2 linked regions of the Cricetulus griseus genome follow. The protein of the gene in region 2 interacts with the protein of the main gene of each other region in a pairwise test. Links are inferred from orthologs where the notes say so. Each region holds a gene or a part of one and is shown on either strand. Other genes may lie near its edges.

Region 1 (5,898 bases), about 73 Mb from region 2:
GAACCCTCCCGGAAGAGCTGCCCATACTCGTAACCACTAAGCCATGTCTCCAGCCCTCAGTGATATCTTCTGTATGACAAAGAGTAATAGCTTACATGAAATTCTTTTTCTTTTTTTAAGATTTTATTTAATTTTTATGTATACAACATTCTGCTTCCATGTACATCTGCACACCAGCAGAGGGCACCAGATCTCATAACAGATGGTTGTGAGCCACCATGTGGTTGCTGGGAATTGAACTCAGGACCTCCGGAAGAGCAGTCGGTGCTATTAACCTCTGAGCCATCTCTCCAGTCCCCTACATGAAATTCTTACATGAGCTAGGTTCCCCCAACTCTCCCCCATCTCTCAAGGCTGACTTTTAGCCCTGTATGCTGGGGAGGCTGGCCTTGAACACCTGGCTCTCCTGCCTTGGTATACTAAAATCTGAGATTACAGGTGTGTACACTAAGCCTGGCTTGGATATGTTTCTTTTGTTCACTATTGCTAGAGTCCTCTGCCCCTCAGCCTCTGCTATTCCTATCGTTCTAATCCTATCCCTTTCCTTTCAGAGGCTTCAGGGGCTATAGAATTTGTTGCTGACCCTGCAGCCCTGGCCACCATCCTGTCAGGTGAGGGGGTGAAGAGCTGTCCCCTGGGGCGCCAGTCCAGTCTGGCTCAGAGAGTACTAGTTCGAGGGAGCAAGGGAGGCACCACCCAGAAGGGCAAGGTAATGAGAAAGATGTGAGGTCAGGATGGGGTGGACTTGGGGAATTCTGAGCTCTTGCTGATAGCCTCTGTTGGCATCTCAGGGTGCTAGGTCTTCCGCATACCTGGCCCCCAGAACTCCCATCCATCAACTGGATCCAGCCAGGGCTTCCTGCTTCTCAAGACTGGAGGGATCAGGATCCCGAGGCCACACTTTGTTCCCACAGAGGATAGAGACTCTAGTGAGTACCCTTGAGGAGCTGACACTTAGTCTTTCTAGAAACTTCTTCCTGGAACAAAGGTACTGCCCTAGAACAGTACCTCCTAGATGAAAATGGGTTCTGAGCAGTGCTGTGCAAGAATTTAATCCCATCACTCGGTAGGCAGAGGCAGGAGGATCTCTGTGAGTTCGAGGCCAGCCTGGTCTCCAGAGCAAGTGCCAGGATAGGCTCCAAAGCTACACAGAGAAACCCTGTCTCGAAGGGAAAAAAAAAAAATCGAGAACGGGTTCTGTTGGGAGAGGTGGGTTGGGGTTTGTGTCTAGTTTGGGGCCTATTTCTCACTCTGCTTTCATGTCTTGGTCTGGATTAGAGTCTACCTTCAGGATCTTCTCATCCCACCACTCGCCCCAGTTTACAGGAGATAAGAAGAGAGACGTGTGACAATAGCAGGTAAGGAAGGCTATAGATACCTTTTCAACCCATGAGGGGATATGCAAAACATGTGAGGTGAGCCCCTGGAACAGGTCAGGCTTTCCTAGCCAGGCTTTAATATGAAGGAGCAGAGGGATCGATGTGTGAAATGCTGTTTCTTTTGGCTACGGCATAAACTGACAATAAATGGGTTTTGAGTCAAATTCCTGACCCTTATCTACCTATCTGAGTTCTAGGATAACATTTGTACCATTAGAGGCTATTGTGAAAATGCAATGAGATGGTATTTGTAAAGCACTTAGCAGATGCCCAGCCCTTGCTTGATACTCAGGGATGGCTACTGTACTTACTGCCAACAGGACTTCAGCAAACCAGGCCTCCAGATTGCTCCTGAAGACCCCAGTTCAGCCTGGTGAGTGTGTCTGGATATGGGAGAAGGAAAAAAAAGCCAGGGCGAGTGAACTGCCTGCACCAGGAACAAGACAAGGAAAAGGCCAACAGGTCTTGAGCAACAGCGGAGTGAGGAAGCAGGGAGGTAGGGAGACTAGGTCAGAAGAGTTGGAGATCTAGCTTAGTGGTAGAGTGCTTGCCTAGCAGTCACATCCCAGAAACACACAACCATGCACAAGACCTCCTACATAGGGCAGAGGTTGGCGTGGTTGAACTGTGTTTCTGCCCTCTCCCTGCCACTTCCTGCAAAACTAAATTTCCACTGTGTTCTATCCCAATCCCTTATGAGCCATGGTCACCTCTGGCCTACTTGGGGCATTTGATCAGTGTTTACTAAGATATTATTAGGCTGTCAGAGAATGCTGAATGAGTAGCCTTTGATGTTCTAAATACTAGAGCAAATGTTCTATCTCCTCCCATCTTCTTTATCTCTCACAGAACATGAGGCTGTCCCTCATTCAGATGAAAGAGGAAGAGCCCTTCTGGGTCTGGCTCAACGAGTACCATTAAGAGGAACTGGAGAAAGAATGCACACCAGGGTGAGATGAGACACCTCCCCACGCCTACCCCCACCCCCACCCTCACCCCCACTCCCAATGGGGGTAGAGTGTTCAGCAGATGCATCCAGGGTCATGGGTAGAGTTGGACAGACCTGGGACTCAGGTTGTTATTAGGTCTTGGTTTGCTGGAGTTGGGACCAAGCCTTGTTCAGAGTGGATCTGATTCCCTTTGTTAGGCATCTGGGGCCTGGGGTGAAAGGTGACAGACAGGCATGCATGTGTGTCACCATGAAATCAGTGCTAAGCCTAGACACATACAATGCTTACCGACCAAAAATAATAATTACTGCTGGGCAGTGGTGGCACCCGACTTTAATCCCAGGACTTGAGAAGAAGAGGCAGGAGGATCTCCAAGGCTAGCCTGGTCTACAGAATGATTTCCAGGACAATCTCCAAAGCTATACAGAGAAACCCTGTCTTGAAAAACAAAAAAAAAAAACAAAACAACAAATAAATTCCTTCAAGTATTTACTAACTGGCCTTTGAATGCAGACATGGTTGTAGATTCAGAATATGCATATTCTAGAAGAGGGAAGCATAAAAATAAACACAAATATATATAGAATGTCAGGAGATAATGCAGCCTCTCTGAAATTAAATACTTAAGGCACTGAGAGGATCTTGGAGGGGGAATTGGTGTCATAAATGGTAGCTTAGAGCCAGGCATGGTGGTACATGACTGTAGCCCAGCTCTCTGGAGGCAGGAGAATTGCAAGTTAGAGGACAGCTTGGGCTGCTCCACAGTGAATTCCGGGATAACCTGGGATATGCAGCAAGACCCTGTCTTTAAAAATAAAGATGGAGGGGACAGATTCGTATTTAGGACTGGTAACTTAGCTCACACACAAAGCCATTTAACCAAGAGGGCTGCAGGTACAAAGGCCTTGAGGGGAGGGTGCACCTTGTGTTTTAAGCCAGCAAAATAGGCCAGTGAGTCTGAAGCCTAGAAAAGAGGAAGAAGCTTCAAGACGAGTTTATAGAGACAAAGGTGAGAGCAGGTAAGGAACTAGCCAGTGTAAGTCCTTGGCTATTTCTTAAGCTGAATGGAAAGCCCAGGGGAGGAAGTGAGAATAGAGAACAATACTTGATTTCTCTCTTAAAAGAATCTTCAAGCACTGCACATGGTAGCACATATGTATAATCCCAGCCTTAGGAGGTCAAGGCAGGAGGATCGGAATTTCCAAGCTGGCCTCTTGGTCACATGAAACCCTATCTTAAACAAAAACAAAACAAAAAAACAAAGAGTGGCTGCTGCTGTGGGGAGAACAAGACATAGGAAGGTGAATTCAGAAAGGCCTCTTCCTGCCCCTTTCCGCCACGGGTCAATGGTGACTCCCATGCCTTCTCCAGGCTCATGCCTGGCCATGTAGTGCCACCCTTTGTCACCCACCCATCACCTTTAGACAGGCTCAGATGTTCCCTCCCCAGGCCTCTTAGCTGTGGTTTGTATCGACAACTCTTTTTTTTTTTTTTTTTTTTTGGGGGGGGGGTTTCAAGACAGGATTTCTCTGTGGCTTTGGAGCCTATCCTGGAACTAGCTCTTGTAGACCAGGCTGGTCTCAAACTCACAGAGATACGCCTGCCTCTGCCTCCCGAGTGTTGGCATTAAAGGCGTGCGCCACCAACGCCCCCCGGCTTGTATCGACAACTCTTAGGCTGGGCAGGAGCTTAGAGAGCCCTGCTCACTCCCCATGTCTCTCCTTAGACCTCATATTCATCCTTGAAACAGCTCACCATTCGGCCGAAAACCCAATGCACGCCCCTCCGATCATTACCCAGAGTTCAGCAAGTAAGAGAGCAGAGGAGGCAACTGGTGTGGGTCAAGACTAGGGAGGAAGGGAGGAGGGCAGGTACTGTGTGGGGACAGGGGTCGGGGAGGAGATAAGACAGGTGAGGGGACCAGATGTCTCACCCATGGGTGATTGTCCTGTCTGATGCAGACCCAGTGGCTGAGTGGCCTCTCCCCTCACTCCTCCCCTGAAGAGCCTGCCATGCCTTGGGTAAGTGTCAAAAGCCTTCCTGTACTGAGGTCTGTGATGCTGTCCCGCTGGCCTGGAGGGCTGGCAGCCTTTGGTTTGAGGTAGGTGTACTGTCTAAAGAATCTGCTTGCCTCTTGCCTCTCCATCTGTCCTTCCTTCCCATGTTTAGAATATCTGTCTCTCTGTCTTCTGCTAGTCTTGGAAGAAATTTCTTGTGTGTATGAACATCTCAACAACCCGGGTCTCAAACTTTTGATTGTCCTTCCTCAGCTTCTTGAGAGCTAATGTCAGCTCTATTATAGGCCTGCGTTATCATACCTGATATTTAGAGCCACCAGGGAGCTTTGACCCTTTCCTCAAGAGGGTGCAGACAGTCTTCCCACCTTAGTCTGGCTTCTTCACCCACCCCCTTTCCTTCTATGTGGCAGGAGCAGATTGCTGTAAGGTTGTTTGACCAGGAGGGTTGTATCACACTGCAGAAGGGGTCTGGGAAACCCTCTGTGGCAAGTACTTCTGGACCTCACCCCAGCAAAACCCCCAACCACCAGGAGCTGAAGATGCAGGTGGGCCTGTAATGACAGCTCTTTGATGGCTTCTGCACCCTGAGAAGACTGGGAAGGGGGAGCTGGGAGGAAAGGTGTGGGGAGATGACAATGTAGGGAGACCTTGTGGACAGGTGACACATTGGGATACTCTCTCCCACCACAGCGCATCAGTCTTCTGCAGCAACTCCTGCAACAGGAGATAGAGGGGCTGGCAGTGGACAAATGTGCCCCTCTTAATGGAGGCTCTGCTCTAGAGATGACTAAACTTCAGCCCTTGCTGGCTGACATTTCTAAAACTCTGAGTGCTCCAGAACACAATTCTGGAACTTCCCTTCTTGGACTGTCAAAACACTCTGGTGTGACAGAGCCGTACCTTGCAGAAGAGTGTGAGGAGCCACAGCCCCACCTTGCAGAAAAGCATGGGGAACCACAGGCCTGCACTGGGAAGGAGACTAAGGTGGTTCAACCCAGCTCTACCACAGAACCACAGCCTCCAGTGCCATGCTGGATAGCTGGGCCAGAGCAACTAGACCCTTGTCTTCCAGCACTGCCTGGGCCTCTTCTGCCCAGTTCTCAAGGACAGGCTGGTTCCCTTGAGGCCTGCCCTAGGATAGAGCTGGGACCATCAGCAGCCTACTCTCTGGAAGCTAGCAATCCAGAGTCTAGCCCACAGCCCTGTTGCAGTCAGGGGCCTCCAGCAACCACCAGCTTGACCTTCTCTTCACAAAGTTCACTCTGTGCCAGGCCCCCTATCCACTCACTCCAGCCTTTGAGGTCCCCAGCAGGCCAGTCAGGTAAGGAATTGGCTGGGAGAGGGTGTGAAGAGAAAGTTCTGTTTCTTGGGAATAGGCCTTGCCTTGCACTGGGCAATGCTATGCTTTCTTTCCCTTGCCTCCCATATAAAGAGCTCTCCTCCCCTATGCTTCTAATTGGCCCTGCTCGTGGGGGAGGAGAAGGGGCTTGGAGGGATATAACTCCAGAAGTCCTCTAAGTTCTCCACGGCCTTCAGGCCCCAGCAGTCTAG
Region 2 (6,753 bases):
TCCATTTGACAGACCTTGTCAAAGTGAAACCTCCTTGAAATACTCTTATGTTGCAAATTAATATAAGAAACATAATCTAATCTCCTGAAAACTGAACATGTAGCAATTTATAATTCTACTGAAACCCCCATCAACAATCATTCACTTTGCTTTTCCTTTTTTAAAAAAAGTTTTGAGATTTATTTTTGTGTATGGATGTTTGCCTGAATATATGTCTGCGCACCTTGTTGGTATAGTGCCCACAGAAGTCAGAAGAGAGTATAAGATTCCCTGGAGCTAGAGTAACAGATGGTTGTGAGCCACCATGTGGGTACTGAAAAATCAAACCAGATCCTCTGAAACAGCAGTCAGTATTCTCAACAGATTAGTCATCTCTCTAAACCCTGGTTTATTTCCTTGTTAGATGACATTTCACTGAGCAGCTCTGAATGGACCTCAGTCCAGGCTGGCCTCAAATATACAGTGATCCTCCTGCCTCTGCCTCCCAAATGCTAGATTATGGGATGTATCATTATGTCCAGTTAAAACACCATTGACTTTAAAAAAAAAAAAAAAATCTAGGGCTGGAGAGATGGCTCAGTGGTTAAGAGCACTGACTGTTCTTCCAGAGGTCCTGAGTTCAATTCCCAGCACCCACATGGTGGCTCACAACCATCCATTATGAGATCCGGTGCCCTCTTATACTGTGCAGATAGACATGGAAGCAGAATGTTGTATACATAATAAATAAATAAAATCTTTAAAAAAAAATCTAAAATGTGTATTGGGATGACACTCAATTTTCTAAACTATAAAAAAATTTGTAAGAATGTCTCCAAGGAATATTCAATTATCTTCTAAACTTCACAAAATAATGTAAGGGCAAAAGCCAGATTAGCTGAAAATTAAATTTCAATTCCTATTCTTTATTAATAAGTAACTCTGGCTTGGAAAATATTTGACTATCTAGTTGTAATCACAGGTATATATACCAAATACTATATGTACCAAAAGGCACTCAAAAAAAAAAAAAGCTGTGAGAACTGACTCACTCTGAATCTCAGGTCCATGGGTTAATTATTTTATAAATAATCATAAACTGTAACTATCATAGCATACCATTTTCAGTGCCTTTACAACTAACTATTGTTTGTGTTGTTTTCAGTTTTAATTACTTTTTAAAAATATTCACAATGAATTATTCCATTGTCTCCCGATCAAGCCACACTACAGAATCCTATGGTCCAAGTGTGTCGCTGGATAGGACTCTTGCTTTATACTAATTAATACTGAGAAAACTGCTAAACATCTACCTTCTGGCTTCCTTTTTAAGGTTTTTATTTTCATAAATCAAAAAATTCCCAAGTACCTAGCTCTTGTTCTACCCATCCCTCACTCCAGCTGCAACAACTACCTTATCCTCTGGGTTTCCACGTACTCTGAATACGTATCTGCTTGTCAACTCAAACACTTCAATACTTTCATTGGCTAGCATGTCTCTCCTTCTTAGAACAAGAACACAGAACAGTACACTCCAAATAGCAAGTACCTATGTGCTTATGTAAATAAAATCCAACAAAATAAGAATTAAAAACAAAAACAATTCAGCCCACCATCAAACACACACAAGACAAAATTAAAAATAGAAAAATTAAGAGTGGAAATCTCATCAGACACATTACAATTTTAAACTTGATTCTCTAATACATTTACACCTAGAAATTGAGATGCAGTGGTTAAAAGTACTGGCTGCTCTTCTAGAGGTCGTGAGTTCAATTCCCAGTACTCACATGGTGGCTCTCAACCACCTGTAACTGTAGTCCCATGGGATCTGATGCCCTCTTCTGGTGTGCAGATGTACATGCAGACAAAACACATGTATACATAGCAAATAAATAAATCTTTAAAAAAATAAGAGAAATTGAGATACAAGCATCTTTTACTGCAATTAAACTGGTAATTCATAGTAGCCTTGAATATTGGTATAGTTAAAAAAAAGTTAAACGTAGTATAGTTCACAGAAAAAAAAGGAGACAAATTAAGTATCATAAATTATATTAAGCTATATAAAGAAAACTTTATATTAAGAATTCGCTGCCGGGCGTTGGTGGCACACGCCTTTAATCCCAGTACTCAGGAGGCAGAGGCAGGTGGATCTCTGTGAGTTCGAGGCCAGCCTGGTCTCCAGAGCGAGTGCCAGGATAGGCTCCAAAGCTACTCAGAGAAACCCTGTCTAGAAAAACCAAAAAAAAAAAAAAAAAAAAAAAAGAATTCGCTCTAACTCATTAAAGTGCAAAGAAAAACTACACCAAGATACTTTTTCAAAAAGTTATTAATGCTTTGTATTAATAAAATGCAGCAGTTGGAGGAAATGTAGGAAAACAACTTCACTGATATGAAAAGTTTATTGAGTAACAACAGCATCCATGGAAGCAATTTAGCAGTTTAAGGAATTTATTCTAAATTACCTCACACATGAGGCAAAATCCAACCGTTCTCATCCTTGTTGATATTGTTGTCTCTACTGTTGGGGATCCCAGATTTTTTGCATATGTCAGGCAAATGTTCTACTACTAAGTCACATCCCCAGCCCACATGTAACAAGATCAATGTGTTATTCTTTAACGCATCATTTATATCATTAAAGAATTAAAAACAAAGTAAATGTACATATAGATACTAAACTGAAAGATAAATTATAGTGCACTCATATGCCATAACTGCAGGCCATTAAAGGTTAAAGTTTCTGCCGGGCGTTGGTGGTGCATGCCTTTAATCCCAGCACTCCGGAGGCAGAGGCAGGTGGATCTCTTTGAGTTCGAGGCCAGCTTGGTCTACAAGGGCTAGTTCCAGGATAGGCTCCAAAGCTACACAGAGAAACCCTGTCTCGAAAAACCAAAAAAAAAAAAAAAAGATTAAAGTTTCTTATGTATATACACAGAATATGAGTAAAGTGGAAAGAAAGTGTTAAGGAGGATATAAGACACGTTACTACTTCCAATTACAAAAAAAAACCCTTTAGATTCACAGAACATTCTGCAGGAATTCTCTATTTGGCAAAAGCACAATTCAAAATAATAATCTCAAACATAAAATATGAGTAATAATGAGGGCTCTTCTACGTTTCAGATCTTTGTACCTTCAATGTAATTTGAATTCAACTCAATATAAAAAAGTTAACTATATCAACAACCAATTAAAAAGGACTAATAATAATTAGCATAAATTCCTCAAAAAAGACCTTTGTTATAAAAAAGAAAAGGTATCTACCGTTTAACGAGTAGTGACCAACTGTACTTGGTTCACTGCTATCAATCCAAGTGTACTTTACCATCAGTTCTGGGAATTTAAAAACTATACTGTTGTCAACACACTCAGAATGAGAATACAAATCTCTTGGTTGCTGAAGATCTTCAAAGTTACTGTAAACCACTCGCTCCTTTCAGATCTATGTTACAGTGGGTGGGGGAAATGAGCTTGATGTCCTCGATCTCTAGTAAAAGCATTTGATAAATATATGGTAGAATCTTACAAGCAGAAGGTACACCATACTTCTAGTGTTAAACCCCGCCTATGCTGCAGTTGGAGACTTTTCACACCGCTCTGTTCAGAGGCAAAGGGCGGCTGAAAAATGTACATATATGATTATAACAGCAATGCAATGTTGAAAAGCAGACTTTTACAAGCAGTAAACGCTGGGCCCTCACTAAACCTAGGGCTCATTCCATGTAAAATGCTAATTAACATCTCCCTTTTAAGTGGATACTGGCGAGCTGAAACATTTACCACAGTACTTGTCTACCGTAAAGGCTGTTTAATACATCTACGCCAACTAATGCCTGTGGAGGCTTCACTAGAAACAGAAGAGCAGGGGAACACCAATCCAGGTCAACTCCACAGGCCTACGCGGTGCTTTTCACAAACAGCCCGATCCAGGCAACTTTAGACCAGCAGGCCAAGGACTGCGGCGGGGCAAGAAGGGCTTGAAACGCCCACCCGGTTCCAGAGGCCGCGCATCCCGCCCGGCCAAGCCTGGGCCGCAGAGTCGCGACCAGGTCTCCAGGACGAACCGAAGGGAGGCCGCAGGTGAAGAACAGAGCACGCAAGTTCCCTCACCTTCACCACAGCCGTCCCCCGGCTGCCCTGCCGCCCACTGTCTACTCCGGCTCCGGGCTTGTTTACAGCTAGGGCAGCCATCCTGGAAGAAGCCGCGCCACAGCAGCAGCAGAGCCTTTAATTGAGAGGAGGGGTTGAGCGACCTACCCAGAAGCCTCAGCGCACGCCGCAGGCACGCATGCGCAGTACGGGCGGGGCGCCGCTCCGCCTCCTCCGGCCTTTTCCCTTCCGTCAGTCATTGGCTGTACGATCTGCGCGTGGACACTTTGTTTTTCATGACGGTGCCTGCGAGCAACTGAGGGAAGGGAGAAAACAAGAAGAATGGATGGAGCATAAATAAAATTTTAGAGTGAAAGTGTCGATCCTGTAATGATTTTTCCTCCAGTACTGAAACGAGCCAGAGTGAAGAAATCAGCTAATCCCAGCGCCGACACCTCTAATTTGAATAAAATAAACTACAAATCCCAGCATGCCACTCGAGTATCCTCCCCCCGCCCCACGCGCCCCATCGCGGAGTGTAAGCCTTTGGGAGGCCGTGTATTGTCAGCTGAAAGTGCCTCCTTGAAGTCAGTCTGTTTAATTCTGAGCGAAGGAATGGCCTTCGTGAAAAGATTTTCACTGGGGCCGTACCAAATTTAATGCAAAGAGAAGTTAAGTTAGTACGAGCCGAAAGAAGTTGGGCGTGTGTTTGAGGCCGCGTCTTCCGGGACTTGTGCTTTGCAGTTTCCTTCCCGACCCAGGGTGAAACTCCTGAGCCTGAGACCAGAAGTGCATGTCAAGATGGAAGTGAATCCCCCGAAACAGGAGCACCTGCTGGCGCTAAAAGGTAAACTGTTACGTGCCTAAGTCTCTTTACTCTTCCCCCGCCCCCCTTCCCCTCACTATTTGAAAGATTTCCAACGTGAGCCTTATCCCTAAACACGGCAGGGCTCGCCCTCTTGCTAAATACTGAGAGATGGCTTCTAGAATGAAATGCAATCCTAAATTCCTCTGTGATCTGTGCTACCGCAGCCACCAGATTTTATCCACAGAAGCTCATGCCTTGATCCTGCTGGGGAGATCTCTGTGAACCAGAATAAATTTCAGTTGGCTATTAAAGCAAGTTATTTATTTTGTTTGTTTGGTTGGTTGGTTGGTTTGTGGGGTTTTTTTGTTTTTTGTTTTTTTGTTTGTTTTTTTTTTTTTTTTTTAGTTTTTCGAGACATTGATTCTCTGTGTAGCTTTGGAGCCTATCCTGGCACTCGCTCTGTAGACCAGGCTGGTCTCGAACTCACAGAGATCCACCTGCCTCTGCCTCCCTAGTGCTGGGATTAAAGGTGTGCGCCATCACCCGGTTTAGAGCAATTTTTTATTACATTTTTATCCGTTCATGTAGCAGGCACAAAGTTACCAGGCTTTCGCTTAGCTGTAGGTAATATCACGTGCTAATGCCAAGGATTTATAAAATAAATGGTAATACACCCAATACTTCTTAGATTTGTTGAATATATTACACATTACACTTTAATTTTCTGTACACAGCAGTTTTGAATAACTTTTAATGGTTTAATTTAACCAGAAGAAAGCTGGCAGGGCAGATTTTCCTTAACTTTGCTTATCAAAACCTTTTATTTAAAATATTTTCAGCTTTATTTTATGTTTTTTGGTGTTTTGGTTTTTCAAGACCGGGTTTCTCTGTGTAACAGCCCTGGCTTTCCTGGAACTCACTTTGTAGACCAGGCTGGCCTTGAACTCACAGAGATCCACCTGCCTCTGCTTCCTGAGTGCTGGGATTAAAGGCGTGTGCTACCAGTGCTCAGTTATTTTATGTTTTCTACTGCTACAATGCACTTGGTTGCTTTTGGAATATACAGTTATGAGGTTGTGCCTTTCACTAGGAAATGCTTAGAAGACATTTGAGCTAGATTGCATTGCTCTGGCCTTCCTTAAGGCATCCTTTTTGTTATACTACATGTCCTCCCCAACACTTTGTGATCTGTACATCTTACATTCCAGAAGCTCATAATCACCTATCGATAGATGCTGTGAACATGACTGTCTCTGAATGTGGGACTAAGCAAGGTTGCAACACTGGGTAATAAGACAAACAGACCTGTAGGTTTCTACATGATCCAGACTAAAATAGATTATATGTGTATGAAAGGAACTTGGTATATATATATATACACAGACAGGTTTTCTCTGTGGCTTTGGAGGCTGTCTTGGAACTAGCTCTTGTAGACTAGACTGGTCTCAAACTCAGAAATCCGACTGCTTCTGCCTCCTGAGTGCTGGGATTAAAGGCATGAGCCACCACTGCAAGGTCATTGTCTCAGTCTTACATCTAGTGTTTGGACTAGATATTAGTTATCTTTTACGGTCTGGCAGCTTACTACTTACATATCTAGTAAGAGTTCAAGGCAATAATTCAACAAGGCCTGCCTCATATTTCTAAAATGCCCTGTTTGCCTCCTATCAAATGAAACAGTTTTTTCAGAGAACATTACCTTATGACTTCAATATAAGTTTAAAAGTTATATTAGTTGCTAAGTGTGATGTCACACAACTTTGACCTTACTAAAAATTCCAATGCTGGGGAATTTTATGTGTTGTTATTCTTCATTTTTAGAAACACAAGATGCCTAGTAAATAATACTTAATCAAACAAACAGGACAAGA

Evidence for each region.
Region 1: the proteins of Trim23 (region 2) and Troap interact in binary tests that used the Homo sapiens proteins (3 or more experiments, as listed by UniProt). The two-hybrid records come from large-scale screens. The link is inferred for Cricetulus griseus from reciprocal best matches to the Homo sapiens genes TRIM23 and TROAP.

The regions. Positions count from the first base shown.
Region 1 is NC_048595.1:395,514,166-395,520,063, forward strand, and holds part of Troap (tastin), read left to right. Parts: intron 1-551; coding exon 552-709; intron 710-791; coding exon 792-929; intron 930-1,278; coding exon 1,279-1,358; intron 1,359-1,699; coding exon 1,700-1,875; intron 1,876-2,228; coding exon 2,229-2,329; intron 2,330-4,055; coding exon 4,056-4,139; intron 4,140-4,290; coding exon 4,291-4,350; intron 4,351-4,757; coding exon 4,758-4,892; intron 4,893-5,037; coding exon 5,038-5,668; intron 5,669-5,883; coding exon 5,884-5,898. UniProt on the Homo sapiens protein: Could be involved with bystin and trophinin in a cell adhesion molecule complex that mediates an initial attachment of the blastocyst to uterine epithelial cells at the time of the embryo implantation.
Region 2 is NC_048595.1:322,445,241-322,451,993, reverse strand, and holds the start of Trim23 (E3 ubiquitin-protein ligase TRIM23), read right to left. Parts: upstream 4,252-6,753; 5' UTR 4,177-4,251; coding exon 4,096-4,176; intron 2,802-4,095; exon of another isoform or gene 2,481-2,801; coding exon of another isoform or gene 2,448-2,480; intron 1,821-2,447; exon of another isoform or gene 1,806-1,820; coding exon of another isoform or gene 1,770-1,805; intron 1-1,769. Other genes in the region: Trappc13 (trafficking protein particle complex subunit 13), read left to right, coding at 4,876-4,921.